Linked DNA regions of Bombyx mori. The protein of the gene in region 3 purifies or fractionates together with the protein of the main gene of each other region. This does not show direct contact. Links are inferred from orthologs where the notes say so. Each region holds a gene or a part of one and is shown on either strand. Other genes may lie near its edges.

Region 1 (4,059 bases), on a different chromosome or scaffold from region 3:
GAGTTATTAAGTCCTTATCGCGGATTAACAAATCACAAATTTGTTTAAAGTAGCTATAGCTATAGCATTAATATCTAATTAAGGAACTCTAAGACCCTTCCTTTGTTTCTGAAAGAATTTAATTGTTATATTGCAGTGTATGGCGCGTGCTTTGTATGATAACATTGCGGAGTCTCCGGACGAGCTAGCTTTTCGAAGAGGCGACCTGCTCACCGTGCTGGAGCAGAACACCGGTGGCAGCGAGGGCTGGTGGCTGTGCTCGCTTAGAGGAAGACAGGTATTTTTATTTCAAATATTCGAAAATTATTCAATATAGATTTTCATTGGTCATTATTGCATAGATTTCATGACCGTCCGCTATTGTTTGTCGAGAAACCGTACTATCGTTATGATTCATAACCTAAAGCACGAAACAATTAAATCTCACGTAGGCACGAATGAGTAATTATTGTTTTGTTGATAGCTGTAGTGTAAGGTCGTAATTTGTGACGTGTATTTTTCAGGGAATATGTCCGGGCAATCGGCTGCGGATAGTGGCGGGCGTGTTCGACTCCAGTGGAGCGACGCAGAGGCGGCGAACGAGGCCGCCTGCGCCCGTAGCCCACCAGCCACTTCCCACACAACAATCTCCCGCGTTTACCAAAGTAAGTTTTTAGGTATTTAATAATTTGGTAAATAAAGTATTGTTTACAAGTCCAATCTTATAATATATTAAACAAATGTATTTCTTTCATTGATCCATAGAGCGCTTACACTCGCACCTTCGTTACTTAAAGTAGACCCATGAACCCGATCTGAGTGCTGTCACTTCATCCGCGCTAATTAGTAGTTAGGTACTTAGTATTTCCAGACAAAACGCGATTTTTTGTTTGTTACCCTTTTGCATTCACTTTAAACCTTTATAGTTGATTCCTATCTCTTAGATAGGTACATCACGTTCGTATCGTGAAACTCATTTTGGTTTTTGTTTCTGAACGCTCTCCTATGGGATCCAGGTGGACCATAAACAATACAATTTGAAGGTACACGAAAAAGGGAAGATCTTCCACCGGGCGGATGATATTCCTCGGTAGACGGACGGTCCAAATGTTGTTCGGAACTTGTATATATGCAAACTTATCCTGAAAATGTCCTAAGCGAGATTCATCTGTTTATTTAATGTTTTGTATGATGGCTGCCCGCTACACAATCGTCTGTACAGATCGATTTAACACAAATTCAAATTTCAGATAGAGGAATGTTCACACTATGACGTGCCCCGAGCGCCGATGCCCGTGCAACGCATCGCGACGTACGATTGCCCGCGACCTCTCGGCGACTGGTACGACGCGCCTCGCGCCCCGCGCCCCGCCAGTGCGGACTCCGCTTGCAGTGGGACCGGATCCTTAGCTTCGGCCACATCGAGTGCGTCCGCGAACTCTGCCAACTCTGGAAGCTCGGCGCACTCCGCTTCGAGCACTTACGATGTTCCTCGGACACGTGCTCTTCCTTTGCCTTGTGACGCCGCATTGGAAGCATTAGAACGATTGCAGGTGCAAAAATTTTCTATTTTAGTATTATTTTGACGATTTATGAGGTTATAACTCAAATTATTCTTTTAGATGATGATTTGTGGTTTTGTTTATTATTCATATACCATATTTGTGAGTCATTTATCCTTTTGAATTACAAATTTGTGCAAACTCAATTGTTATGTTAAAATATAATAATATTATTAGCCTAGATGGGCAGAGCGGCTCACGATTCGCCTGGTAATAAATGCTTACTACCATAAACATTTTGTTTATATAGTAAGCATATATTGACCATATATAAGCTGGCATTTTCCAGCATCCAGCGTGAGACATGAGGTCAAAGTTTTAATTGGATTAAGCTTCGATTCCGATTCCACCTCTTGCAGCCTTAACGTTGCAACAATTATTACAATATTTAATGTTATTTACTATTTCATCATCATCATCACAAACGTTCATACTGAATTTTACCATTTAGGCCAGCTAATATTGGTTCTGATTGCACCACTTTTAAAATCGAACAACACAATACGACAATAACATAAGCCGCCATTATAAGACTTAGGTACTTTATAATCTGTACCGTAAAATGGGGCGATTAGGGACAAATTCCAACTTTATGAGCAATTTTAAGGTAGTTGTTGATGTATATAATGCTATATCAGGATCAAAATGGTTGAGTCTTGGGAGCATCTTTGTTGTCTAATTTAAAATTTTGCAACTAGCATTCCAGTTTAAGCAAAAAATGCAAAAATAGGTGTAATCCCTATTTACCCGAAAATTGCGGTTAATTGGGACGAAATGAGAAATTTGCTAGGGTTGGCACTACTTTTATTTTTATATATAGTTTTAATTTATTTACTTATTTAGTTGCACCAACAAAGTGATCATCAATAAAAAAAATTGAAAACTGACAAAAGTACATGGCAGACATCACCTCAATTATAGGTGCAATCGACAGTGCATTAACAACAACAAAAAAAAAAATATATATATATATTTATTTATACATATATAGTGGGCTTTCTTAGAAACGGTTTATATTTCTCCGTTCTTGGTAAGTACTTAGGGGCTGATATTTCTATCTGGGTTAAGAGATTAGGTGTGTCGGGTATTCCATGGATTAATCAGATGAATACCCCCACTCTGAACAAATATTAAATATTTTATTATGTATTACTTAGACATTTTTGTCCACCTTGAGATTTCATTGATCTTGTTACATGTCTCTGCAAAATCGACTTACTTATATTAAATTGCTTATCTATTTCAACTAAAGACTTATTCCCAATTTCGCTTCGAATAAACCAGATTTTTACCAACAAATTTAAAAATTATTTTATAACTACATAGACAACCCTACAAACCTGTACCTATTTATACTTAGGTCGTTTCCATTTCACGTATTCTCATCCCAATTGACCCCTTTTTCGTTGTTATTTATACCTAAGACGTCCCCAATATCCCCAATAACAACAGATTTTTACATGTATTTTTATTTAATCAAATACATTAAAACCAATAACAACTGAGACTTACCTTTAATATATATGCTGGTTCAAACACTAAATAACGTTTATAAATCATAGTCGTCTTCTATTATTATCAAATAAATAAAAGAGAGCAAAGTTTCTAGCACTAAAATAATTACCACCACAGGAAGTTAATTTGAAACGCGATTTTTTATAAGTTAGCAGCTATTATCATGAATATTCAGAGTTGTTTTGTGAACTTTCAACATTCTACTATTAAACTACAAAAAATGGAAGATTTTGCAACGAATATAAAACTTATATTGAGCGTCGAAAGATTTTCCCGGTTTTTTCCCGATTCGCCTCTCAACCCCTAATCGCCCCATTTTACCGGTATTTAAAATCACTAGTACCGTAAAATGGGGCGATTAGGGACAAATTCCAACTTTATGAGCAATTTTAAGGTAGTTGTTGATGTATATAATGCTATATCAGGATCAAAATGATTGAGTCTTGGGGTCATCTTTGTTGTCTAATTTAAAATTATGCAACTAGCATTCCAGTTTAAGCAAAAAATGCAAAAATAGGTGTAATCCCTATTTACCCGAAAATTGCGGTTAATTGGGACGAAATGAGAAATTTGCTAGGGTTGGCACTACTTTTATTTTTATATATAGTTTTAATTAATTTATTTATTTAATTGCACCAACAAAGTGATCATCAATAAAAAAAATTGAAAAACTGACAAAAGTACATGGCAGACATCACCTCAATTATAGGTGCAATCGACAGTGCTGATATTTCTATCTGGGTTAAGAGATTAGGTGTGTCGGTTATTCCATGGATTAATCAGATGAATACCCCCACTCTGAACAAATATTAAATATTTTATTATGTATTACTTAGACATTTTTGTCCACCTTGAGATTTCATTGATCTTGTTACATGTCTCTGCAAAATCAACTTACCTATATTAAATTGCTTATCTATTTCAAATAAAGACTTATTCCCGATTTCGCTTCGAATAAACCAGATTTTTACCAACAAATTTAAAAAATATTGTTATAACTACA
Region 2 (4,059 bases), on a different chromosome or scaffold from region 3:
ATAGTCCACCTCATCGGCGTTTGCTTCGATCGACACCCGAGGTATTTCCGTCCGTTGGAACAGGATTATAGATTACACTTAGGTTCGTCAATAAGAACTGAATAAAAAAAAAGAGGATCTGACAACAAACAGACGTACCTAACTGTTTCGTCTTTGGCTATTTATACAGGGTGACTTGTAATTCGACGTATTCCTTTTGGGATGTGATAATACATCTAATTTCCAACAAAATTAACCCTAATGTCCCTAATACCAAAGTGTCTCGTTATCGAGATATTCAATATTTTTCGTTTTGTTTTTAAAAAAATCCTGAAATAACTGCAAAAAAAAAACATTAAATAAAATGCTAGTGTTTTGAATTAAGTTGTTTGAATTTTTATCAGTTACCAATACATCAACTAGCATTTATTAATACTAATACTGGAACGAATTTTAAACATTTTAAAATAGCAAGTGATTTCTTATAAAATTTTGTTTTGATTCTCTAATTTAGTCGATAGAAAACTGGATTTATTTTGAAAAAAACAACTAAACATTTAAGCGTACAAACTACTAGAAAAAAACTTCCTTGTTTTATTAGCTATTTAAAAACATGAAATTATTTACAAAAAAGGAAAGATTCTCCCAAAAAAATGAATAACATGATGATAGGTAAAGTGTATCTTTTATTAATCAATTTTGCGACATATTTTACAAATCTTGTTCAAAGTGACCTCCCTTACGGTAAATACATGCCCGCACACGCTTCCTTATCTCTGTCACTGTCACTCTTGAAGTGAAAGACCTATATTTCTTGTCATATACGCCGTTCCCAGGTTCATTGTGCTAGAATTGCTGGCCGGCGGCGATCTGAAGAACTTCCTTCGCGAGAGTCGCCCCAAGCCGGAGCGGGCCAGCGCCCTCACCATGAAGGACCTGCTTCTCTGCTCGGTGGACGTCTGCAAGGGATGCCGGTACTTGGAAACTAAGAGATTCATACACAGGTAAGTTGATATAAGGACGATTACGACAAGGTCTTTTGTCTATCACGATTTTTTATTTATTGCTTAGTTGCGTGGATGAGCTCACAGCCCACCTGGTGTTGTTGAGTGGTTACTGGAGCCCATAGACATCTACAACGTAAATGCGCCACCCATCTTGAAGTATAAGTTCTAAGGTCTCAGTATAGTTACTACGGCTACCCCACGCTTCAAACCGAAACGCATTACTGCTTCACGGCAGAAATAGGAGGGGTGGTGGTACCTACCCGCGCGGACTCACAAGAGGTCCTACCATAAGTAATTACGCAAATTATAATTTTGCGGGTTTGATTTTTATTACACGATGTTATTCCTTCACCATGGAAGTCAATCGTGTACATTTGTTGAGTACGTATTTCATTAGAAAAATTGGTACCGGCCTGCGGGATTCGAACACCGGTGCATCGCTACATACGAATGTACCGGACGTCTTATCCTTTAGGCCACGACGACTTTTAAACTTCCCAGGGACATAGCGGCGAGGAACTGTCTGCTGACGTCCCGGGGCCCGGGCCGCGTGGTCAAGATAGCGGACTTCGGTATGGCTCGAGACATATACCGCGCCGACTACTACAAGAAGGGCGGGAAGGCCATGCTGCCCATCAAGTGGATGCCACCCGAAGCTTACATTGACGGAGTCTTCACCACTAAGACGGACGTCTGGTAAGGTTTTTTTTTTATTGCTTAGACGGGTGGACGAGCTCAAAGCCCACCTGATGTTAAGTGGTTACTGGAGCCCATAGAAATCTACAACGTAAATGCACCAACCACCTTGAGATATAAGTTATAGTTATATATAGAGTGGAGGGAACTCCCCTGTCTTTTCCTTTTATACTCTACACCATTCAAATCTGACATTAATACATATCGTAAAAAGGCGAACAACGAAAACTCACCTTTTGAGCACATATTAAAGTAGAAACACAAACCATTCATATATAAATAACACAAGCAATAGTACCAATAATAATTTATAATTTGGTAAAAAAAATATGAAAATAAGCCATTAGCACCAATGATAGATACTGCGAAGTACTTGGCCAAGCCTTTCTTTGAGTCAAGTTTGGATTTACGGTTGGACACACGGATTACCTTAAAACAAATAGTAGTTAATTTGATGTTAGATAAAGCATAGAATGAAAGATGTATGTATGACGCCAATCTGTATCGCGCAAGCAGCCTCTGTGAGATAGGTGCGCATGTGCAAGTTGAAATCTTGCCCGAATCTAGACCTTCACTCCTGGAACATCCTTCCTCAGTATTATTTTCCAAAACCCTCATTAATATTCATTACTAGCTGGCCCGCCAGACTTTGTAGTGCCTCAATCGATAAATCAAAAGACCTAAACTTTTGTGTAAAATAAACTTAAAACAAACAAAAGGAATCCGTCCGACGGGGGACACATCAAAGGGAAAACAAAATTATTATTTTTATTTAATTCCGAGCATTTTCACGAGTTTTAGCGAGACTAGCGAAAAGCAATTCATTTTTAGATATATAAAAGATATAGCCAATACGCTGGGTGGTGCTCTGGAATATCGCCTTCCAATAAATGCCGCAGATGCCGTAAGGCAACTTAGGGATTTACCGAAGAATGGGCATCAGCGATCTCTTGCAGTATTGTAAGTCCCCACGCATAGGTACTACTGTCCTGCCTAGTTCTGCCACGAAGTAGTCACGTGTTTTAAGCCGCGGGCTGGGTCCCTCTTCGATAATTAAAAAAAACTATACGTCTTTTTGATCACCAATTTCTAAACGAATATACAATCCTTAGGTCATTCGGCGTGCTGCTATGGGAGGTATTTTCGTTAGGCGTGATGCCGTACACCGGATGCGCCAACCGGGAGGTCATGGAGCTGGTCTCTGGTGGAGGAAGACTGGAGAAACCGTACGGTGAGGGATCTGAATATCACAAATTTAAGCGTCGTACTCCGATACCTGGGCACTATATTTAATACCGGCATGATTAGCCCTTTACGCGCACCCCGGATATGCATCAGCGCTGGGCATCTCGCCCTCCTCGCCTTCCTAGCCCCAACCTCACACAACTACCCTCCAGATCGACATATAACCAGTCGCTGGTCGCATACTATCTATGATTTTTTTTATTGCTTAAATGAGTGGACGAGTTCACAGCCCTGACGTTAAGTGATTACTGGAGCCCATAGACATCTACAATGTAAATGCGCCATCCACCTAGAGATATAAGTTCTAAGGTCTCAGTATAGTTACAACAGCTGCCCCACCCTTCAAACCGAAACGCATTACTGCTTCACGGTAATAATAGGCAGGGCGGTGGCGATGATATTATGAAATGAAATAAAGTTGATTAATATGAAACATGGCATGATATAATCTCAATAAAATGGTGGTCATTTACCGAGACTTTTTCAGTGGACTTTCTGGAGGATCCCGAGAAGTTACGTTTAGCGGCTTTGTTTGATTTTCCCACATTTGTGCACTTTCACAGATATTAAACAGTTAATAAACCACCGTTATTACACATTTAAACCTGAAGAAACACTAAATAGACAAAATAAAACAAATCATACAACTTCACTCCTCGCGTTCCCGCCGTTCCCGAGATTTAATCGTAATGCGGAGTTTACATTACGAAATTAGTGTCATGCACGTTGAACTCAGTTGCACGAAAGTAGTTTCGATACATGCGAAAGTAATTTCGTTAAAAAATTAGTGTCGTGAATCCCACAGTATCGCAGTAACCATGGCGCCGCCAGCATCAAAGCTATATTTTGCTATATTCAATGTAGCTAAAGAAATGCTTATATAATATATGCTTCTTTGACATATTGCATCTCCATGGCTTCCATAATTATTTTGTAGGCCGCATCTCGGGCATGCCTATTTTTATATTGTAGGTGTTTCGGGTCCCAGAGACTCTTGTCGCTGATATTCATTACTGAATTGTATTTTTTTTCTGTACTCCATCGTTGGTTTGCCATTTTCAAGGCTTGAAGCGCGTCCGGACTAACAATACACACGTCCGCGCGGCGCAGGCCCTTTCGCGACATTAGTTTC
Region 3 (3,914 bases):
ATTGAGGAAGATCGACATGTGACATACCGCGAAATTCAGGTAACTTTAGATTGGCATGAGTCAAATACAAATAATCTTGCATGAACAATTAGGTGTAAAAAAGTTGTTTTCCCGATGGATACCGCATTCGCTCTGTGAAGAGCAAAAAGCGGCTTGCGTTACTTGGTGCGTCAGAACTCTCGAAAGATTCCACGCAGGATCCTCAAATGCTGTATACAACATTGTATCAGGTGACGAATCCTGGATATACGCGTACGAACCCGAAACAAAAAACAAGTCACGAGTTTGGGTGTTCGAAAATGAGTTAAAGCCAACAAAAATTGTTCGTTCACGGAGTGTTGCAAAAAAAAATGGTGGCCACGTTTGTCTCCAAAACCGGCCATGTTACGACTATTCCTCTTAAGGGACAAAGAACGGTTAATGCAGAATGGTATGCTAGCATTTGTTTGCCACAGGTCGTTTCTGAACGCCGTAAAGAGAACTGCAACCGCCGCATCATCCTCCATCACGACAATGCGAGTTCTCACACCGCGCACAGAACAAAAGAGTTTTTAGAGCAAGAAAACATAGAATTATTAGACCATCCGTCGTACAACCCCGACCTAAGCCCTAATGATTTCTATACTTTCCCTAAAATAAAGAATAAATTGCGTGGACGGAGATTTTCATCACCTGAAGAAGCTGTGAACGCCTACAAAACGGCCATTTTGGAGACCCCAACTTCCGAATGGAATGGTTGCTTCAATGATTGGTTCCATCGTATGGAAAAATGTGTCAAATTTCGCGGAGAATACTTCGAAAAGCAATAAATACATTTTTAAATAGTAATGTTGTGTCACTTTGTTAATTCCCGAAATTTTCAGTGCCGCCCTCGTAATCACTTTTTAGATCATCAATTTCGTGAAAGACTACCCTAAAAAAAATTGAATAAAATAATCGACGAACCAGTTACTGTATCTTGAAGAGCACAATTCGAAAAGTTTAAATATATATAATATAATTAATTATCCTTATGCTGCTCCTTTTACAGCCGATATTTATTTGTCCCATTTAAAATTGCTGAATATAAAACAAAAATTTGTATAATAAATAAATAGTAGTACAGTATATTGGAGGGAATAGAGACTAGAATTAGAATAGGGACAAATCTGGCATGTCACAACAATACTTTTGTTTAGTTGTTAGATTAAACTTAGTTTTTTTATTTTTTTTTATTGCTTAGATGGGTGGACGAGCTCACAGCCCACCTGGTGTTAAGTGGTTACTGGAGCCCATAGACATCTACGACGTAAATGCGCCACCCACCTTGAGATATAAGTTCTAAGATCTCAGTATAGTTACAACGGCTGCCCCACCCTTCAAACCGAAACGCATTACTGCTTCACGGCAGAAATAGGCAGTTGAACTGAAAATGACTTTTATTTAGTGTTTAATAATATTAAATAGTTTAAATTAGTCATCAAAGTTTTGTAACTCATTAAAGATATTAAAAAGTTAATTACCTAAAGTTAAGTACCTACCTAACAACTAATAATGCCACCCCTATCAAAAAACTATTGTCCCCATACGTAAGCTGATTCACCCCAAAGTCAAAGTGAATCGGGTCAAGCTAGTTTTTTTTCAGTTTTTGTGTTTGTTTTCTAATGAACATGTATAATGATATAATCTCAATTTTATTGGTATTACCCTAAGAAAAAAACATTGAAAATTTGTGTTGGGTCCCGATTACCCCCAATCTACGGTAACAGATGTAGATGTAACCTACTATTAACAATAACGAATGAAATTGTTTCACATTTTAATTTGTAATACGATTTGATTTCAGATGTTGGTGCAGGCTCTATACGACTTCACCCCACAAGAGGCTGGCGAGTTGGAGTTTAGACGCGGTGACGTCATAACCGTGACAGATCGCTCCGACCAGCACTGGTGGCAGGTAAAGTGAAAACACATTACAATTTAAGGCCAGAGATTATTTGATTTTACTTATCGAGCCAAATTTACTGGTGGTAGGTTTTTTTTCCTACTTAGCTGAGGGGCTTAAGAGGCTATTTCAGCGTAACCTTTACTAGTAAGTGAGCTCACGGGGCTCAAACCTGACGACGTTGCTAACACGAACCCTAGCAAGAGATGTGCTTCGCAGAATCTACCGCGGATCGGAAACGCGACCCATTGACAAGATCCGGCGAGAAATTCAGTAGGCTGTGTCTGTGACGGGTGGTAGGACGTCTTCTGAATCCGTACGGGTAGGTACCACCAACCTGCCTATTTCTGCCGTGAAGCAGTAAAGCTGCTTTCAGACTACGGTATAGTGCCATATAGTTTAGCAGCCTATAGTTAGCCAATAATTTATAGTATAGTACAGTGTGAACGTGTCCATAGCAATGTATGATGTGCGATATTGTTGTGCTATGAGCTATAAACTATATGCTATTATATTGTAGCGTAGTCTGACAGCGGCTTAATGCGTTTCGGTTTGACGGGTGGGGAAGCCGTTGTAACTACTGAGACGTTAGAACTCATATCTCAAGGTGGTTAGTGGCATTTACGCCAGGTGGGCTGTGAGCTCATCCACCCATCTAAGCAATAAATAAAAAGCTAATGTATTTCAGACTCATTAGCGTAGCTTTGTTCGTTGTTACAACAGATGACGCGGGACCTTCTCAGTGGGTCGCGTTTCCGATCCGGTGGTAGATTCTGCGAAGCACGACTCTTGCTAGCGCCAGTGTTAGCAACACTTCAGGGTTGAGCCCCGCGAGCTCACCTACTAGTTCTGTGAATCTAGAATAACCCCTTGATGTTACTAGAATATGTAGGAAAAATAATAATTACAAAGCGTTGATTTCGTTTGTCGCAGGGCGAGATAGCTCACCGCCGCGGGTTGTTCCCGGCTTCGTACGTGACGGCGTACCACTCGTCATAGTGGGCGCGCGCCTCATCCCCCTCCCCCCGCCTCTCTACCGCCGCCGCCGCCCCGCGTTCCCTCACACCCGTCGGACCGGACCCAGGCACGTACGAAGGCCGCACATCGACGCCCGCTAAACAACGTCCACTGCTGTATCTAGTAAGTACATTGTATCGTATCGTTCGTCGGCCGATTCAGATATTATTATTACATCGAAATATTATTAGAAACGTGCGTTTTTTTTAAATATTAGTCATACTAAAATCGGATATGTTTGAGCTGCGAACGGGGAAAGACCGCCCGAAGTGACGGGGACGGCGCCGGTGTCCCGCCCCCCAACCCCCCGGCCCCCTCAAGAGAGATTTCGGTTTTTGTGTAATATTTCGTGAGTATTTTGGTGCTTTCGTGTACTCTACAGCGTATCGTGAAAATTATGAATAAAATTTTTTTAATGCGTATTTTGTAATAGTAATTTTGCGAGAGATTTACGTCGTCGGTCCATTGTTTTTTAATCGTGTTTTTTGAAAAGAGAGAGTAAGCTGCCTTATTTATATAATTTCTTGCATCGCAGTGTAAGAATAATTCGGTAGTACAAAAAGTTTATTGGTATTTTTGTGTCGTGTTTCGTATCGATTTTAATGTATTCGGTAACTTTTTTTTTTTTAAATCTGATTTTGACAATTTACAAAATAATAATATTAGAGTGATTTTTATATCCTCGGTAACGTGCCAGAATTATGTTATTTTGTAGTTTTTTGAAATGTATTTTTTTTAGTAATAGAAATATAATAATAGGGAGCTAATGCTACCCAGTTATTGCTGGTGTCTCCCCATCCGCGTATGTAATGTAGATTTCTTTTAATTTTTATTATGTTTAATTCGATGTGATTTTAAATGTTTCGACGCTATTTAACCATTATTAGTTTCTAATGTTCATTAAAAAAAAAAAATATTTATCGTTTGTAATTTAGATGGGCGATTTAATTGTTAGTTTCGCTTTATCGATTTT
Region 4 (4,843 bases), on a different chromosome or scaffold from region 3:
AGTCCTGTACATATTAAGAATTATTATTAAATATGAGGTTTATATTGCAAACCATTAAAATATTGTTAAGTTATAAATTCAACAGTTGACAAATGTCGTCAATAGATGTCACAGGCTAACAAAATTACATCGCGGTAGCGTTGTGTGTAAAAATTTGTATAAGAAGTCCAAAGTAATTATGAATAAATCAAGAACCAAACGCATCAATGTAAAATTGGCAGATTAAAGCAAAGTGTGAACAAAGTTAGCCTGTTTAATTTATATGTCTGACACCCAAAATTTGTGTTCCCTTCCCTCGCCCTAATAACTCCTCGAAGACGATTCTTCATAGACCTGATCAGCTTTTGAATTGATTCTTGTGGGATACCTTCCCACTTCTCAATCAACGCCGATTTCAGCTCATTCAGGCATGAAGGAGCAGAAGTTCTGGAACGAACCCTATTCTTCAGTTCATCCCACACGTGCTCAATAGGATTCAAGTCAGGGCTGAGCGCAGGCCAGTCCAATGTGGCGATATAGACTTCTTCGAAGTATTCAGTTGTTCCACTGGCAGTGTGACAACGAGCGTTATCGTGCTTAAGGAGGAAGCTATCACCGGCATATCCCGCATAGGGAACGACATGTTCCAGCAGAATATTGGAAATGTATCGGTCCGAAGTTAGACCGCCTCCTCGTCCCCCGCCAGGCACGAAAACAAGCTCGGTTTTACCGTCGAAGGAAATGCCGGCCCACATCATACAAGAGCCGACCCCATAAGCCACTGTTTCAGCGAAACAGCACTGCGCAAATCGCTCCCCAGGCCGCCTGTAGACCCAACCTCTTCGGTCGCTACCATGCAAACACATCCTGCTCTCGTCGGAGAACAGGATTTGCCTCCATTGCTCAACCTCTCAATTAAGATTGGTACGAGCAAATTGAAGGCGTGCTTGTCGATGAGCTACCGTGAGTTTCGGCCCTGTGACAGGCCTTTTTGGAGTCAGATTCGCTTGCTTGAGTCGTCGAAGAACTGTCTACTTGCTAGCTGCTACCCTACGAACATCTCGGAACTCCTGTTGGACGTCGACACCAGGTTAATGCCGATTTCGGAGAGAGGTTAACACGATAAAACGGTCATTCCTCTCCGATGTGCCCCAGCGCCGTCCAGATCTTGGTCTCGAGATAAAGCTACCAGTCTCTTGAAAGCGCTTGCAAACTTTTGAAACACAGGAATGGCTTATTTGGAGCCGACGAGCGACAACCCGCTGGCTGAGCTCTTCTTGCAATAGGGCTACGATTTGTGCTACTTCTGTAGGTGTTGTCCCAATTGTCGTACAAGGTAAAGGGTCAAAAGTAGCCGAGATATGTACCGGTCAACGTGTGAAAGTCGACTGATAAAGAAAATCCGATAACAGGTGCTTTTAGAGGGGTCAATAGGCCGCAACTCGCGACGTATCAAGCAATTGAAACACGTCTTTTTCGTTATTCCTTCACTTAATCCAAGATAACTTCTTAAATACTGGTTTGATTTTAATTAATTTGGTATCAGTTTAAGGTTAAGAGCTCAACCTTTAAAATGATCTCATTTTTATGATTATCAAAAAAATATGTAGTACACAAGATCGCGCGGAACCAATTTCAAGTAAGTGATTCCAAACTTTTGCTCGCGAGTGTAGTTGAAAGGATGGTTGTTGGTATCATAAAATTATCATAAAATCTAAATATCCATGATCATAGATTATACACTTAATATTCGAGATCCATGATTGTCAAATGACATTCTGATAAATGTCAATGTTCAGTCTTAACAAACCTAAACTGTCAAATGTCAAAAAGTTCAATTCTCATTTTCTCTGTTTTGATGCCGGTTCTGATAACGACTAATATTATAAGAAATATTTTATGTAAATGCTTATTTCTGGGGAAAATGGCTAATTTGCCTCCACGAAAAGTTACTTCAGCTAGCAAATCAAAACAAGATGCTTCTCCACTGCAAATACTTTTGCAAATGGGTTTTAGAAGGCAAAGAGCGTAAGTTTGTAGCGACACTTTGTCTATATTATGTGGTAATAAATGTAGTAGTAGTATCTAGTTTGGAACCACAATAAATTGTACAAGCAAATTTAAAGAAATCAAAACTTAATTGGGCCACAGTAAATATAATACTACAATATAATTTAAATTGCTTAGGTTGAAAGCTTTAGCAGCAACTGGTAACCGCAGTGTTCAACTCGCCTCTGACTGGCTATTGACACACGTTAGTGACTCGAATATAGATGCTGATGATCCTCGCGAGTATATCTTCTATGCCAGTCCTACAGGACCTTTACTCTCACAACTCCTAGAATTCTGGGATAAGTCTAAGGCAACGTGTGGTTGGAATGGAGCTCATAATTTTTTACCTCACATCACTTTAGTATCTTTTTTCAAGGTAATAAAAAATATATCATACATTCCTGTTGATTCCTCTATCAATTTATGCATAGTCCCTGTAAACAAACATTTATAAATAATGTAAGCCTCATTTTATTTTTTGTCAGATCTTTGAATTGTTTAGGTTTATTTTAATTTACTATATTTTGCCACCAACAATTTATTTACAATTTAAGCTATGGTTTTTAGAGTTAAATGGAAACTGGGCTATAGGTATTATTTCAGATAATAGATATGTCAATCCTCATCCCCACTTCCAGATATAAGATATGAGTTACATTTGTAACAATGGCTATTTTAATTCTGCAGCTAATTTTAAAATTTAGTCAGGTTCTACAAAAATTGGATATTAATTTTATACACATTAAATATATAGATAAATTGATCCAAAAAAGAAGACACCACAACCATCAATGGTCATTGTTTTTGGAAATGCTTCGCTTATGCCTTGTACATACATATATGCAAAGTAATTATTATTTATTACAAATAATTATAAAGAATGGATGGATATAGAACTGATGTGATTGATAAATGTTTATTATTAACATATCTTATGAAATAATAGTACATATCTAAACAAATAATCGCAACAGTAAAAAAATATCCATAGGCACCCGATGATACATCTCTTAATTTAGCAAAAGCAGTTCGGCAAGTTGTCGAGAATGTGGGTGACCCACCTAAATGCACTCTTAAGCTCGAACCCTATGTATCACACAACTTTATGGGCTTGTTTATCTCTGAAGAACATGCTGAGTATTTGAAAAAAATTGCAGTGCAATATGTCAAGCAAGTGTCTTCAGTTTGTAAGTATATCTATAAAAGAAGAAATCAATCTAAGAAAAAATATTGTAGATTCTCACTATTTTAATGTAAACTTTATAGTTAAATATCTATTACCATTATTAGAAACAGCATGTACTGGTTATTTCTAGAAATTAGGTACTGTTGACTTATTTGACCCTAATCTGATTATGAAGAAAATAGTCTTTATTTATTTGACATTATGTCTGTGTTACTTCAGTGGGTGTAATGGTGGACACATATGAACATTTGGATGCATTAGGAACATGCTTTCCGTGGTGTGCAATGGCACAAGAAAAGAATCTTAAATGTAAGAGTGGATATTCTAACAGCTTGCTTTGATGTAATAACATTTTTGTGACTATTTTTATTCTAAATACAAAGCAGTAGTTTCTTGACTTGACTATACTAAATATATTAATGTTTTCGTGGCTTAATCGGTAAAGTGTATACATATACTGATACTAAGATTTGCATGTATGTACCTAACGAACAACTTCCATGATGAAGGAAATCAAAATAATAATATGCGTAATGAAACTGAATTAAGTTTGAGTAATAACTAGTTGGACACTGGACTCTGAGACCACTCTGAAAGATACTTTCATGTTGTCTATTGCTTCCTCAGAAGTGTTCATGATTTTCAGTTTTAAGGGTGAGGTATTCTCTGTACTTTTTTTTTTGTTTATTGCCTTACAGGCAGATGAGCACACGGCTCACCTGATGGTGAGTGGTTACCGTTGCTCATGGACGTCAGCAATGCCAGGGGTAGAGCCAAGCCGCTGCCTACCGTTTAATACTCTCCACAAGCCTTGTTTAAAGAAGGACATGTCATAGCGCTCGGGAAACACCATGGAGGGGAGTTCATTTCATAGCCGGATGGTACGTGGCAAAAAAGATCTCTGGAAACGCACTGTGGATGAATGTAGTGGCACCACGTAGTATGGATGAACTTTACTCCGGTGGCGGGAGGTTCGATGGTAAAAACGAGATGTTGGTATCATCTCGAACAATTCCTCTGAGCACTCCCCATGGAACATACGGTACAAAATACAGAGGAAACTGAAGTCCCTCCGCAGACCCAGAGGTTCCAATCGATCCGTAAGAATGGGATTATCAACAATCCGAACGGCTCTTTTCTGTATGGAATCAAATGGAAGTAGCTGGTATTTGGGAGCCCCGGCCCAGAAATGGGAGCAGTACTCTACGCGATGCCGGACCTGTGCTTTGTAAAGCAAAAGTCTTTGTCCAGGCGTGAAGTACCGCTTCGCTCTGTTGAGGACTCCCAGCATTTTTGACGCCAACTTGGCTTTGCCCTCCAAATGACTCCGAAATTGGACATCGCTCGAAATGTCGAGCCCAAGTATCCCAATATTCTTGGAAGGTTGTAGGGATACACCTTGGAATTGCGGCGCCATGACAAAGGGGTCCTTCTTCGCAGTGAACGCGCAAACCTGTGTCTTCAACGGGTTGAATTGAACCAAATTTACTTCACCCCACTCGGAGGCTCGCCCCAGAGAGTTCTCCACTTCAAACACAAGTTTTGAATGTCTCTCCTGCACTACGCTCCGTGAGAGAATCTGATGGCCGATATATCGCACATCCCCCGTGCTGTCATCCGCATAGC
Region 5 (4,767 bases), on a different chromosome or scaffold from region 3:
TGTATTAGACACATTTTTTCCGTTCTTCTAAATTATTCCAACAGCATAAAACGAATAAAAGTCATTGACATGTCACCAAAGTATTGATTTATTATTTTGACCTTGTTTACGATTCAAAATTGGCGTATTTAATTTTGTAAGTAAATACGCCTTAAAAGACTAAAACTGGCCGCATAAATACGCTTAACCTAATGATATTATTTAAGTGCATTATTTTTGTACGAGTAATTAATGACGCACTATAAAATCACTAGAATGTAGGCAATGAAATAAATTAAAAAAATCTTTAGAAATTCATTTTGGTATCTATAATCCATTTTGTTAAATTGTGTTTAAAATCTTTAATTAGGTAGGTACCAGATGGTGGGTGTCACTGAATAGTAGATACGTAGTAATCAGAGCGTGGTTTTAAGCGATATAGGTAGGTACTTAAAAAATTCGATCATCGACTTTTTGGCGGGAACGCGAGGAGCGAAGTTGTTGAATTAATTTATTTTATCTATTTAGTGTTTCTTTAGATTTAAATGAGTAATTACGGTGGTTTATTTACTGTTTAGTATCTGTGAAAGTGCAAAAATGTGGTAAAATTAAACAAAGCAGTTGGACGTAGCTTCTCGGGATTCTCCAAAAAGTCTCAGTAAATTACCACCATTTTATTGAGATTATATTTCATCCCATATCTCATCTCATTTCATGCCATGTTTCATTTTAATAAATTTCATTTCACTTCCTAATGCCGTATCGTCTCATTGCTTCGACGATGTGGTGTTGTGTTCCAATCGTTACATAAATCAACATTAAATTATTAGAAGAAAAAAAACGCGGGAAACATTGGAATTTGGCGGACGCTGTTTTTGTGCTGAATTTGCTTTTCCTTCGTTTTTTATTATTCATAAACTTTACAGCTTAAAGGTTTTAATTAAAACGGGCGAATTATAAAAATCTTATTACTTGACGCTGGCTAACGCACAAACTGTACCAGAGCCAAAAAATAAAGAAGAAGATGAAGAAGTCGATCATCGAAAAGCAGACAAGTAATGTATTATACCTGGGTAGTCTTTGAATGAAAGTAGGTACCGTACTAATAGTATCTATTGAAAAGTAACCTCATACCAAAAAGAGTTTCAAATTTAATTTAGATAGAGTAAACGTTAAGTTGATTTCCGCCTGTTACATAACACTTGTCTTTAAATAAAGTGAGTGTACCAATCGTTAGTGTAATACTTTTATTGTTGGGTAGGTCTCGTTAACGTACTAACCGCAACGTTAACGGCGAAAATGCAAATCAAAACAGTGTTGTCATGAAATTAATGTTCGTTATTATAAGTCGTGCTAAGAGGATGGTAATAATGCATAGATAGATGTAAACATTTCATATATATGAAGCTTAATATTCCAGAAAACAATGGGTATGGGAATAAGAATATTATATAAATTTTTAAATATACCATGCTAGAAATTCATTTTTGTAACAGTTGTGTATTTTCAATGATATTTTTTCAATTATAAAATGACATCCATTTTTAATCTTATTTTCTTGTAACATGTGGTCCAAGACTCAATTGTACCGTAAATCAATATAGAACGGATTGCTGGTGTGCTGCCATAGTAATAGAGTAATAGATAAAGGTCGATGGGTTTTAACTCAGCAAGCTCAAAAATGTCCCAACACCAGTAGGTAATTACGCAATTCACAAGTTTAACGGATTTGATTTTTATTTTCCAATGCAATTCTTTTCTCGTTGAAATCGTTATGGAACTCGACTTAGATATTTTCTAATAACTGATAAATAACTAACTAACCCGCAAGACTCAGGCGTGTTTTGAACTCCTGCTTAGTCGCAGCACTCGATACAAATAAAGCGTCTTACCATTGTTTTAAAGCTATGTACGTTTACAATAAGAAAGCTTCCTGATTTCCTGATTTAAAAAGCTATTCCAAAAAGCATACGTAAAACTTGAAAAGTGTTAAGCGCTTGTCAATTTTAAGCCGTTTGTCACACCACTAGTAGCATAGATTAAATTGGATAAGCACTATTCACTATTCTATGGGTGGATTGATTTGATTGAATTCATTCTGTCCACCAAGTCGAAGATTGGTCTCGGTTATTCTCATATAAATTTATAATTGTTATTTGACTTATCTTAAAAGCTAATGGCGTGATAATCGCCAAATAGAAACTAAACATGGCTATGTCCAAAGGCTTTAAAGTTCTGGAGAAATCATCGCCCCCCAGTCCGTATAGCATAATATTACAACACAGAAACAAAGACACTGCACTTCTTTTCGAATCTCAAGCCGTTGTTTCCTTATCATCGCAAGAAACAGAAACTTTAAGGAAACAATACCATAAAGTTGCAGACGCTTATGGATGTCTTGGAGTACTTCAGCTAAATTCTGGTGAAAGCTGTCTTCTGTATCTTGTGTTAATCACCGGATGCTCTTCTGTTGGTAAAGTGGGGGATTTAGAAGTATTTAAGATAACGCAAACTCAATTTCTGCCACTGTTCTACCAATCGCAAGGTGATGATAAGGTTTCGGAAGTCCGAAAATTAATTAATTCAGGTACATTTTATTTCTCTTGGTATTCTGGCAAAAACAATGATAATCTTTTTGATTTGACTCTGTGTGCCCAAAGAAAAAGTAAAGGAGCCAACCCTGATAATAGGTTCTTTTGGAATAGAACACTGTACATACATCTAATCAGATATGGCATAGATTGTGATGAGTGGCTAACTCGAGCAATGTGTGGATCTGTAGAAATACGCACTATTTATGTTGGGCATCGTCAAGCTAGGGCTGTACTTGTCTCAAGACTTAGTTGTGAAAGGGCTGGAACTAGATTTAATGTGCGAGGTTGTAATGATGATGGAAATGTGGCAAACTTTGTAGAAACTGAACAAGCTGTTTACATTGATGATTCTGTAGCATCTTATATACAAACAAGAGGGTCTGTGCCATTGTTTTGGGAACAACCTGGAATACAAGTTGGCTCACACAAAGTAAAAATGTCAAGAGGCTATGATGCATCAACAAGTGCTTGTGAGAGACATTTTGCCCAGTTAAAGCGTAATTATGGATCTGTAATAGTTGTAAATCTGCTTGGATCTAACATGATTGGGGGTAGTGAAGGTGAGGCAACATTAAGTAATGCTTTCCAGAAACACATTAATGAATCTCCACATTCTGATGTCCTACAAATTGTTTTTGACTATCATCAGGAAGTAAGAGCAACATCCCAAGAGATAGCTCTATCAAAATTTAAACAGAATATTGAGAAATATTATGATGAGATTGGGATTTTTAGTGCAAAAGGGTCAGACATTTATAATATTCAAAAGGGAGTTATAAGGACCAATTGCTTGGATTGCTTAGATAGAACAAATTCTATTCAGACATTTATTGGTTTAGAAATGCTTGCTGTTCAATTAATGCTACTACAATGTCTTGATAAAAAACAAAATGTTAATAGATTTGAAGAAGTTTACAAACAGATGTGGGTGAATAATGGAAATGAAATATCTAAAATTTATGCTGGAACTGGTGCAATTCAAGGAGGCTCCAAACTAATTGATGGAGCTCGATCTGCTGCCAGGACTATCCAGAACAATTTATTAGACAACTCAAAGCAAGAAGCAATTGATATTTTATTACTTGGTTCAACATTAAACTCTGAACTGGCAGACCGCACAAGAATACTGTTGCCATCTAACATACTACACACTTCTACAGCTATCTTGAGGGAAATGTGTCGTAGAACGAATGAATTCACTCAACCTTCAACTCTTAGAATAACTATTGGCACATACAATGTGAATGGTGGTAAACATTTCAGAAGTCTTGCTTATAAGGATGTTTCATTATCTGACTGGTTATTAGATTGTCCAAATTCATCTTTGGTAAATACAGTCAATCTGAAGGATCATCCTTCTGACATATTTGCAATAGGCTTTGAAGAAATAGTTGATTTAAATGCTAGTAATATTATGGCAGCTAGTACTGATAATGCAAAAGCATGGAGTGAGGAACTGGAAAAAGTGTTAGGCAGAGATGCATCTTATACACTTCTGTCTAGTCATCAACTTGTTGGAGTATGTTTATTCATATTTGTTAGAAAAGATTTAATACCGCATATCAGAGATGTAGCACTTGATTCAGTTAAGACTGGACTTGGAGGGGCTACTGGGAATAAAGGTGCTGTGGGAATAAGAATGGTAATTTATGGAACCTCACTATGTTTTGTTTGTGCACATTTTGCTGCTGGTCAATCACAAGTTACAGAGCGTAATGCTGATTACACAGAAATTACTAGAAAAATTGCATTTCCCATGGGTCGCTCTCTGTACTCCCATGACTATGTATTTTGGTGTGGTGATTTTAATTATCGTATAGATTTAGATAAAGATGAAGTACGCCTTTTGGCTTCACAAAATAATTTGCAAAGGCTTTTGGAGCAAGATCAACTTTTACAGCAAAAGTCACAAGATTTAGTTTTCAAAAACTGCTTTGAAGGAGAAATTACATTTCCTCCAACTTATAAATATGATCTATTTAGTGATGATTATGATACCAGTGAAAAATGCAGAGCACCAGCATGGACTGACCGTGTATTGTGGAGAAGCAGAAAATATACTATTGATCCTGAAACCACATCAGAATTATCAGCAGGGAAACTTCTACACTATGGAAGGGCAGAATTGAAACAAAGTGACCACAGACCTGTAATAGCAATATTAGAAATAGAAGTGTTACAGGTCAGCTATACA
Region 6 (4,815 bases), on a different chromosome or scaffold from region 3:
ATACTTATTGGAAAATTTAATACTTCTTTAAAGAATTTGTAGAAGAATATTCCTGGATAGATTAAAATAGTAGGGGTTGTTGTAGGGGGGAGTTTACACAATATTAAAATTGATAACTAGTGTTGGATTAGAAGTAACGAGAAGTAATGAATTCCTTATAATATGTAGAATAATATATTAATTAGTTTTAATTAATTTTAAGATACGAACTTTAGTTGGCTGAAGAAGATCCCATACAAAATTCCAGGCTTCGGGAACTCTCTGAGCCGTTGTGAGCCACGCATGTGCGTTGGCCCTTTCGGTTTGTTCTCCGTTATAGAATACAGAAACGGCGTATTCCAAATTCTGCACAGTATACTCCATTTCAAATTAGATTCTCCAGTGAATCTAATGCTATATATATACCGGAAAAAAGGCCTGATTTTACTTGAACTAATAAGTTTAGACCTAATTCATCTATCTCACTGTTTTAAAACTATCTTTAAGTTAGATTTTTGTGTCTTAATCAATACACAATATTGTCTGGATTGATTAATTTATCTTTCCGATTTTACATTTCTGTAATTTTGTCAATTTTTGGCATTTACCTACCGGATTATGTGAAATTTGACTTTACTAAATGTCAAACGAACCCAACCACTGTTTTTTTTTTTGCCTACTTATGCTGGTAGCTTCAAGGGGCTATAGTTATACCTATCAGCTTCAACGGGTGAGTAGGCGAGCTTACGGGGCTCAGCCTGACGAATTGGTGTATACTAGCCCAAGCAAAAACAGTGCTTCGCTGAATCTACCGCCGGACCGGAATCAACGACTACTATAATTCTGCATAAAATATATTATAAGATTTGTCGGCGATACGTTAGGATTTTTACAGGTAAAAATAGTAGAACGAAAATGTAACACAAAATTCTATAAAATGTTAGCATTGCGTGAATATTACTTATATACATCTATACCGATATCATAAAGAGGAAAGATTTGATTGTTTGTTTGTATTGAATAGGCTCCGAAACTACTGAACCGATTTGATGATAGAATAAAACCGAAAACTATTTATGATAGAATAAAATAATGTACTACGACTTTGTAGAACACATTAATATTTACAGTGTTTTTGCAGTATAACTATTATAGTTATGCCACAGTAAGTGTTCTTTTATTTAAAAAAATAAAACTACGTCAATTATCGTTTACAGAGAAGCTCTGACTTAATAAACTTAATGGCTTTTGTTTTGTATGTATTACATTATCTTTTTACGAAAATTAGAAATATAATAATAAAAAAAGAGATAAAAAATCATATAGAATTTTTTTTTTAATTAAAATAATAGTATTCAAACTATATTTATAGATAATTTTCTTTTTTTAGTAACTCAGGGCAAATAGAAGAGTAGATGACGTGTGTGTGCTATAATTTTTTAATTTTGAAATTTTTGTTAATTTTCAAATGATTATGCAAAGTTTTCGCTGCATTCGTGGTTTTCCAAGCTGTGTCGGTTTTTTAACAGACATGAAACCGCGCGAACCGCGATCCTTCGCGTAGTCTCCCACACATTCGTGTGACCAGTTGCGCCCAGGATAGCGAAGGCAACGGACGTTTCGCTATTTTCATAGATCGTGACGTCCAGGTACTGTGTAGCGTATCTTAATCAAAAGAAATCCCATAAAAACAGCATGGCTGTTAATGATGTCTGGGAAAGAATTCAAAACTCTTTTTCTCTTCAATATTCTATTGACGAATTAAAAAGGAGGAGAAATTCGTGAGACATTCGTAAACAAGTGTAGGAGGAAGCGCAAACGGGTTCGCAAATTGAGTACCGAACCCATTTGCACAGCCGCTAAGTTTGCGAATGAATGTTTGACGGCCCTTCACATGCGCGCAAACATTCGTACAATGTACGAATATTTGCGCGCATGTGAGTGGCCGGCATTATGTGCTGTAGTCTGTAAGAAGCGTATACCTAATCTATGGTCTGTAGCATAGATTATAAACTTAATATATTGTCTGTACAGTGTAGTTTGTATAATGTATGGTGTAGTTTAAAAAGTAAGTTTGCTCAAGTTTGCTGTTGGAGTACTAAAAAGAAAATACAAAGTAACGTCTACTGTTTAAAAGAGTAAAGCTGCTTTCAACATGAAAATTGAAGAAGTGAAAAGCACAGCTAAAACGCAAAGGATCTCTGCTCACAGTCATATAAAAGGCTTGGGGTTGGATGAAAATGGTGTTCCTATTCAAATGGCAGCCGGTCTCGTGGGTCAAGAGTCTGCACGTGAGGTATACAATAAAATTTCCAAAAAAATTGCCGATAAATTTACACTCGAAATTGTATAAGTTTTATTAGATCAACCTCGTAGAGCAGAAGTTCGAGAAAAATAATTTGAGGTTATCAATGTTTGGTTGCTATGGAATTATTGATCAATGGTAATTGGAGGCAATATGACAATATACATAACAAAATGTTGAATTGTAGGATTAGGTAGTTTAGTAATAGTAATTCAATGTAATCTTAAGCAACCTAACACATTTAATACAATCTAATTTTTATTTATCATTTACTGTCCAATGACCACAAAATTACAGGTATTTTTATTGCATCTATACAAATACATTTTTTTTTGTAAACTATTTTTTATTAATTTTAAAAATTGTAGGCTGCAGGGATAGTTGTAGATATGATAAGAAGTAAGAAAATGGCCGGGCGAGCTTTACTCTTGGCAGGGCCTCCTGGTACTGGCAAAACTGCTATAGCTCTTGCCATCGCTCAGGAACTTGGAACTAAGGTAAGTTCTTACTTAAGTCTGACAATATAAACTTGGGCTGTCACCTTCTTATTTTCATATCTAAAATGAGTGTTTTTTTATTATTATTTTTATTGCTTAGATGTGTGGACGAGCTCACAGCCCACCGGGTGTTAAGTGGTTACTGGAGCCCATAGACATCTACAACGTAAATGCGCCACACACCTAAAGTTCTATGGTCTCAGTATAGTTACAACGGCTGCCCCACCCTTCAAACCAAAACGCATTACTGCTTCACGGCAAAAATAGGCGGGGTGGTGGTACCTACCCGTGCGGACTCACAAAAGGACCTACCACCAGTAATTACGCAAATTATAATTTTGCGGGTTTGATTTTTATTACACAATGTTATTCCTTCATCGTGGAAGTCAATCGTGAACATTTGTTAATTACGTATTTCATTAGAAAAATTGGTACCCGCCTGCGTGATTCGAACACCGGTGCATCGCTAGATACGAATGCACCGGACGTCTTATCCTTTAGGCCACGACGACTTCTCTTTAAAAGTCTTTTTATTGACAATCTCAATGGCATCGGTTTAGAGCATACTGACCATAGTGTGACTGACCATGTGTTAACATTTTACTGACCGATTATGGTGGAAGCAGCCACTTAAGACTTCCTATTCGCACACTTTTTAGATAGAGGTTAGGAAACAGCTACTAAGAAAATAGTAAATTCCAGTGAACAAGAACTGTTGAAAGAATGATTAATAGGCTCCTATTAATATACATTGGCATTAGAAAATTAATGAATATGCTAAACAGTACATTACATATAATAAACTTATCATAGTTTCCTCAGTGTCCTTAGCTAGAAGTATATGAATAGAAATATCATCATCATCAATTTGTCATAAAACAAGCATAAAAACATTTGAAAATGTTCATCATTACAGGTTCCTTTCTGTCCAATGGTTGGTAGTGAAGTTTACAGCACAGAGATCAAGAAAACAGAGGTATTAATGGAGAATTTTCGACGTGCTATAGGCCTGCGTATACGTGAAACCAAAGAAGTATATGAGGGTGAAGTAACTGAGTTAACACCTGTTGAAACAGAAAATCCTGCTGGAGGTAACTATAGCAAAATTATTCTTTTATTCTTTTATATATTAATATGGACTTAAGAGGGTCTGAATTAAATGTTTTTTTTTTTTTTTTTTTTATATTGATATAAGAAGGTCTAAGGGTCTAAATAGGGTCTCTAGATAGCTAAAGCCAAAGTGGATATAATCTACTATGATTGAACTTAAAATGAAATTAATTGACAGATATTGGCTATAGTCAGTTTGTATTTTAAGAACAGCAATTTAAATTGAAGGTTGGGAGTCCGTTGCACATTCAGTAAAATGATAAGTTTGTCTAAACCTTAACTACAACTACTCTTAGCACAGTTTGTAGGCAGTGGGTTGGCTTTCCCCTTGACATGAAGCTTTGAAATTGGTCAAAAATTTGATACCAAAGTTCATAATATTAGTTTTGATTTTTTGTGTGGATCTATCATGCAATGAATAATCTTGCTTCAATTACTGTAAAATTTTGACTTGACTTGCTCTGACTTGATTCTTTGGCTTATATCTGCTTTACCTAATATTTTTGATATCTTCTTTTTTTAAGGCTATGGAAAAACAGTATCTCATGTGATCATAGGACTAAAAACGGCCAAGGGTACCAAACAACTTAAACTTGATCCAACTATATATGAATCGTTACAAAAGGAAAAGGTTGAAGTTGGGGATGTCATTTACATTGAAGCTAATTCGGGGGCAGTGAAGAGACAGGGTAGGAGTGATACTTTTGCTACTGAATTTGACCTTGAGGTATGTACATGGTGCATTTAAATTTAGTTGTAGTGGTACTTACTAGAATCATTTAATACCAAATCAACAATCAATCAATCAAATTGAATCAATCAATCTCCTCCAAACTTTTCGTAATTCTACTTCTGACTCATACAATCAATTCTTAATCCCCTCTTTGGATGATAATCAACTTTGAACTTGTTTCCTAGGCTGAA
Region 7 (4,303 bases), on a different chromosome or scaffold from region 3:
TGGTCCCCCCGCCTCGACCACCGCACGCGCCCGCGCCGGCCGGTAGACTCGCACGAGACAGATAGTCCGCACTATTATCTGCACTCTTCACGTACTCGATTACATAATTATAACCACTAAGAAAAATTGCATATCTTTGAAGTCTGTTTGCCGAGACTTCTGGGATGCCTCGTTGTGGGCCAAATATTGAGAGCAGCGGTTTGTGGTCCGTCCTTAGTATAAATGGATTTGACCTGCCGTACAAATATTGATGAAATCGACGAACACCAAATATAATCGCGGTTGCTTCCTTTTGGATTTGTGAGTACCTTTTCTCGGCGTCGTTGAGCGTGCGCGAAGCGAAAGAGATAGGTTTTTCCTGGCCATCGGAACTCACCTGTGATAGAATAGCACCTAATCCATTGGGCGACGCGTCTACAGTGAGAATTATATTTGCATTAGGATTAAAATGGGCCAATACATTATCGGATGCTAACATTTTTTTTATTTCATTAAACGCCTTATCATGTAACTTAGACCAACGCCACTTTGTTTCTTTTTTTAAAAGTTCGTATAATGGTCCGAGAATACAAGATGCATTCGGTACAAAATTCCTATAATAATTTACTAAGCCTAAGAAAGATCGTAGTTGACTAACATTCGTAGGCGCCGGTGCCTTTAATATTGCTTTTATTTTATCGGGTGATTTCCTTAGCCCCTCTTTATTAATGGTAGACCCTAAATAATTAATTTCATCTTGAAAGAACTGACATTTAGACTTTTGTAGAACAAATCCTGCGTCTTGCAACCGTTGTAGGACCTGATGCAATCTCTCAAGATGTTCAGAGTCATTGCGACCCGTTATGAGCACATCGTCCAATAAACACAGCGTGCCGTCCAGGCCCGCTAGCACTGTATCCATGGCTCGCTGGAAAATTGATGGCCCACTAGCTAACCCGAACACCAAACGCGTATACGCGAAGATCCCTTTATGCGTATTGATACAAGTTAACTTTTGGGATTCTTCATCCAGACAAAACTGACCGTAGGCCATAGACAAATCTAATTTAGTAAATTTCTGGCCCCCGTATAGTTTAGAAAACAACTCGTTTACGGTAGGCAACGGATACTGTTCTACAACTAATTGCTTGTTTATAGTAACAGAGTAGTCCGCGCAGATACGGACCGAACCGTCACGTTTCAGTACCGGGACTATTGGTGACGCGTAGTCGGAATGCTCGACTGGTCGGAGTACTCCCAGTCCCACCAAACGGTTTATCTCTTTTTCCACTTTTTCACGCAGAGCAAATGCGACCGGCCGTGGTTTAAAAAATATAGGATGAGCACTTTCTTTTAATTTCAAATTAACTTTATATTTGTTGAATTTACCTAACTTGTCCGAGAACACGGCGGGATATTGTTCCTGTATTAATTTCAACGTGTCACGGGTAGTGGCACATTTATATACGGGCGCTAGCTGCAGTTCAAATTGTGCGATGAAGTCGCGGCCCAGTAAAGGTGGTCCGCCATCGCGCACCACGTACACGTCGAGCTGGCGCGTGCGACCCCGCAAATTGGGTTTTGACCTGACGCAATATATCATCATCAGCTCCTCCTACCCGCGGGCGCCGTGAGGTCCATTGTAAAATGGGTAGCAACAACTGCCTCTCAACTTAAAGTAGTAAAAAAGTCGTCGTGGCCTAAAGGATAAGACGTCCGGTGCATTCGTATCTAGCGATGCACCGGTGTTCGAATCCCGCAGGTGGGTACCAATTTTTCTAATGAAATACGTACTCAACAAATGTTCACGATTGACTACCACGGTGAAGGAATAACATCGTGTAATAAAAATCAAACTCGTAAAAATTATACTTTGCCTTATAACACGAGTCCGCGCGGGTAGGTACTACCGCCTCGCCTATTTCTGCCGTGAAGCAGTAATGCGTTTCGGTTTGAAGGGCGGGGCAGCCATTGTAACTATACTGAGACCCTTAGAACTCATGTCTCAAGGTAGGTGTCACCATGTAGATGTCTATGGGATCCGATAACCACTTAACACCAAGTAGGATGGCAACAAAAAAATCTGCTTGTACTGCTTATGAACATTGTGGTAATCGTTGTGAGATAATGACTTGCATTTTACAGATGAACCGCCAGCCCACCATTGTGGTGTCTCCGGTGGGGTGGGAGGGGGAGGACGAGGGCGGCGACGAGGAGGACGGCTACACCGCGAGGGCGCTGTACGACTACCAGGCCGCCGCGCCCGACGAGATATCTTTCGATCCTGATGACGTCATCACCAACATCGTCATGGTAACACGCGGTCACACCACCCTGCTCAGATTGAAGGGGGCGAGGGGGGACCGTTATGTAATAAATTCGAAACCTCATAAATATAATGCTTAGCGTCGGAACGGTACTTCAATAAGGCTATGCGTCATAATACCCTCTTATGGTTGCCGCCTCTGACTTCTCCCCGAATCCTGATCATGCAGGAGCAAGTCACCTTCGACACCCTACGAGGGCGGCACTGAAAATTTCGGGAATTAACGAAGTGACCCAACATTACTATTTAAAAATATATTTATTGCTTTTCGAAGTATTCTCCGCGAAATTTGACACATTTTTCCTTACGATGGAACCAATCATTGAAGCAACCATTCCATTCGGAAGTTGGGGTCTCCAAAATGGCCGTTTTGTAGGCGTGAACGAATAATTTATGTTGGCTTTAACTCATTTTCGAGCACCCAAACTCGTGACTGGTTTTTTGTTTCGGGTTCGTACGCGTATATCCAGGATTCGTCACCTGATACAATGTTGTATACAGCATTTGAGGATCCTGCGTGAAATCTTTCGAGAGTTCTGACGCACCAAGTAACGCGAGCCGCTTTTTGCTCTTCACAGAGCGAATGCGGTATCCATCGGGAAAACAAATTTTTTACACCTAATTGTTCATGCAAGATTATTTGTATTTGACTCATGCCAATGTCTAAAGTTGCCTGAATTTCGCGGTATGTTACATGTCGATCTTCCCCAATCAGCTTACGCACAGCGTCAAGGTTTTCTTGGGTGACTGCAGTTTTTGGACGACCTTGACGGGGATCATCACTGAGCTTGACACGTCCACGTTGAAACTCAGCAAACCAGCGATAAATTGTGGTTTTGGATGGGGCTTCATCACCAAATGCAGAAATCATCCGGTCAACACACTGTTTTTGTGTTAAACCACTTCGAAAGTCATAATAAATCATCGCTCTTGAATTTTCTCGAGTCAATTCCATTTTCTCAACGACTAAACAAGTTTGACAAAACCTCGTGACAAGACCGAGAATCTTTTTTTAAATAAATAAATGGTATTCGATTTTTAAAACCAAGGAGTTTTCAATTAAAAAGATTTTAATATGACAGGAACAGTGGAAATATTCCATTCCCGATACTTTTAGTGCAGCCTAGTAGACACGTCCTTATGGATGTATCAGATCCAATAACCTTTACATTAGACGCCTTCAGCTCTAATACTAGAAGCAGGCTTAGGGACCCCGGTAACCGTACTCGTCGAACTTGCCAAAGAGGTCGACGTGCAACCTAACCCATACATCAGCCCGCTGAGTTTCTCGTCGAATCTTCTCAGTGCGGAATCTAGTAGTCATTCGCGAAGCAATTACTCTTGAGTTGTTGGGTCTCCTTTGGAGGCGCTCGGGCAGTTGTTAGCAAATTCCACCCCTCCTGGCTGAGCCCTTGCTCGCCCACCTGTCCTGGTAAAACTGAAAAGGCCTCCGAGCCATCAGTAATCTCTCAAACATAAAAAAAATGTTTTAATAAATTACCATTTTAAACCAAATAATGTAACATAATGGAAGACATGAGTGGATAAAGGGGTTAAGTACATTTTTTAAGATTTTTGAGTTTTTACATTGAATGAAGGTGTTATGTGCCTATAAACCATATTAGACCTTAAAACTCTGGATTTAAAGACTTGTTTTTAAAAATTACATTTCGCACATACAGAGCTATAATATCACTTATGCGATTCTTGTTAATACTGAACTGAGTTTGAGAAAATCCATTTCTTTAATGGTTATCAGTGAGATATTTGCTTTTACTGATAACGTTAAAATTGTAGTTTAAATATTATCATTTTATTTCTTTAGTCGAGAAGAATAATAACTTGTATTGTAATAACTTAATTGTAATAACTTGTTGAATTTTCAAATTCTTCTCCTGAAAAATTATATAATTTGCATAAGTGATGTTCTAGCATTGCATGTGCATTATGATGAAGAAGTTATGTACGAAGGAAAAGTACAGGTAACAAAAGTTTGTT

The links.
Region 1: the proteins of DRK (region 3) and breast cancer anti-estrogen resistance protein 1 purify together in Homo sapiens (affinity purification with western blotting; 3 studies listed by BioGRID, with this or other methods). This does not show direct contact. The link is inferred for Bombyx mori from reciprocal best matches to the Homo sapiens genes GRB2 and BCAR1.
Region 2: the proteins of DRK (region 3) and tyrosine-protein kinase receptor purify together in Homo sapiens (affinity purification with western blotting; 3 studies listed by BioGRID and IntAct, with this or other methods). This does not show direct contact. The link is inferred for Bombyx mori from reciprocal best matches to the Homo sapiens genes GRB2 and ALK.
Region 4: the proteins of DRK (region 3) and ecdysteroid-phosphate phosphatase purify together in Homo sapiens (tandem affinity purification; 3 studies listed by BioGRID and IntAct, with this or other methods). This does not show direct contact. The link is inferred for Bombyx mori from reciprocal best matches to the Homo sapiens genes GRB2 and UBASH3B.
Region 5: the proteins of DRK (region 3) and synaptojanin-1 purify together in Homo sapiens (co-immunoprecipitation; 3 studies listed by BioGRID and IntAct, counting the BioPlex papers as one, with this or other methods). This does not show direct contact. The link is inferred for Bombyx mori from reciprocal best matches to the Homo sapiens genes GRB2 and SYNJ1.
Region 6: the proteins of DRK (region 3) and ruvB-like helicase 1 purify together in Homo sapiens (affinity purification with mass spectrometry; 3 studies listed by BioGRID and IntAct, with this or other methods). This does not show direct contact. The link is inferred for Bombyx mori from reciprocal best matches to the Homo sapiens genes GRB2 and RUVBL1.
Region 7: the proteins of DRK (region 3) and src substrate cortactin purify together in Homo sapiens (affinity purification with mass spectrometry; 3 studies listed by BioGRID and IntAct, with this or other methods). This does not show direct contact. The link is inferred for Bombyx mori from reciprocal best matches to the Homo sapiens genes GRB2 and CTTN.

The regions. Positions count from the first base shown.
Region 1 is NC_085117.1:10,875,658-10,879,716, reverse strand, and holds part of breast cancer anti-estrogen resistance protein 1, read left to right. Parts: intron 1-136; coding exon 137-277; intron 278-503; coding exon 504-644; intron 645-1,229; coding exon 1,230-1,532; intron 1,533-4,059. UniProt on the Homo sapiens protein: Docking protein which plays a central coordinating role for tyrosine kinase-based signaling related to cell adhesion. Implicated in induction of cell migration and cell branching. Involved in the BCAR3-mediated inhibition of TGFB signaling.
Region 2 is NC_085130.1:7,715,721-7,719,779, forward strand, and holds part of tyrosine-protein kinase receptor, read left to right. Parts: coding exon 1-41; intron 42-645; exon of another isoform or gene 646-815; coding exon 816-983; intron 984-1,487; coding exon 1,488-1,682; intron 1,683-2,794; coding exon 2,795-2,913; intron 2,914-4,059. UniProt on the Homo sapiens protein: Neuronal receptor tyrosine kinase that is essentially and transiently expressed in specific regions of the central and peripheral nervous systems and plays an important role in the genesis and differentiation of the nervous system.
Region 3 is NC_085123.1:5,809,285-5,813,198, reverse strand, and holds the end of DRK (DRK protein), read left to right. Parts: intron 1-1,825; coding exon 1,826-1,936; intron 1,937-2,857; coding exon 2,858-2,923; downstream 2,924-3,914. UniProt on the Homo sapiens protein: Non-enzymatic adapter protein that plays a pivotal role in precisely regulated signaling cascades from cell surface receptors to cellular responses, including signaling transduction and gene expression.
Region 4 is NC_085131.1:8,634,397-8,639,239, forward strand, and holds the start of ecdysteroid-phosphate phosphatase, read left to right. Parts: upstream 1-1,741; 5' UTR 1,742-1,801; coding exon 1,802-2,007; intron 2,008-2,166; coding exon 2,167-2,407; intron 2,408-2,598; exon of another isoform or gene 2,599-3,022; coding exon 3,023-3,218; intron 3,219-3,436; coding exon 3,437-3,526; intron 3,527-4,843. UniProt on the Homo sapiens protein: Interferes with CBL-mediated down-regulation and degradation of receptor-type tyrosine kinases. Promotes accumulation of activated target receptors, such as T-cell receptors and EGFR, on the cell surface.
Region 5 is NC_085118.1:11,390,997-11,395,763, reverse strand, and holds the start of synaptojanin-1, read left to right. Parts: upstream 1-1,616; 5' UTR 1,617-2,187; coding exon 2,188-4,767. UniProt on the Homo sapiens protein: Phosphatase that acts on various phosphoinositides, including phosphatidylinositol 4-phosphate, phosphatidylinositol (4,5)-bisphosphate and phosphatidylinositol (3,4,5)-trisphosphate. Has a role in clathrin-mediated endocytosis.
Region 6 is NC_085128.1:12,885,817-12,890,631, reverse strand, and holds the start of ruvB-like helicase 1, read left to right. Parts: upstream 1-1,763; 5' UTR 1,764-2,134; coding exon 2,135-2,275; intron 2,276-2,652; coding exon 2,653-2,781; intron 2,782-3,697; coding exon 3,698-3,872; intron 3,873-4,415; coding exon 4,416-4,618; intron 4,619-4,809; coding exon 4,810-4,815. Other genes in the region: importin-13, read right to left, coding at 211-363. UniProt on the Homo sapiens protein: Possesses single-stranded DNA-stimulated ATPase and ATP-dependent DNA helicase (3' to 5') activity; hexamerization is thought to be critical for ATP hydrolysis and adjacent subunits in the ring-like structure contribute to the ATPase activity.
Region 7 is NC_085113.1:1,695,921-1,700,223, forward strand, and holds the end of src substrate cortactin, read left to right. Parts: intron 1-2,124; coding exon 2,125-2,385; 3' UTR 2,386-3,353; downstream 3,354-4,303.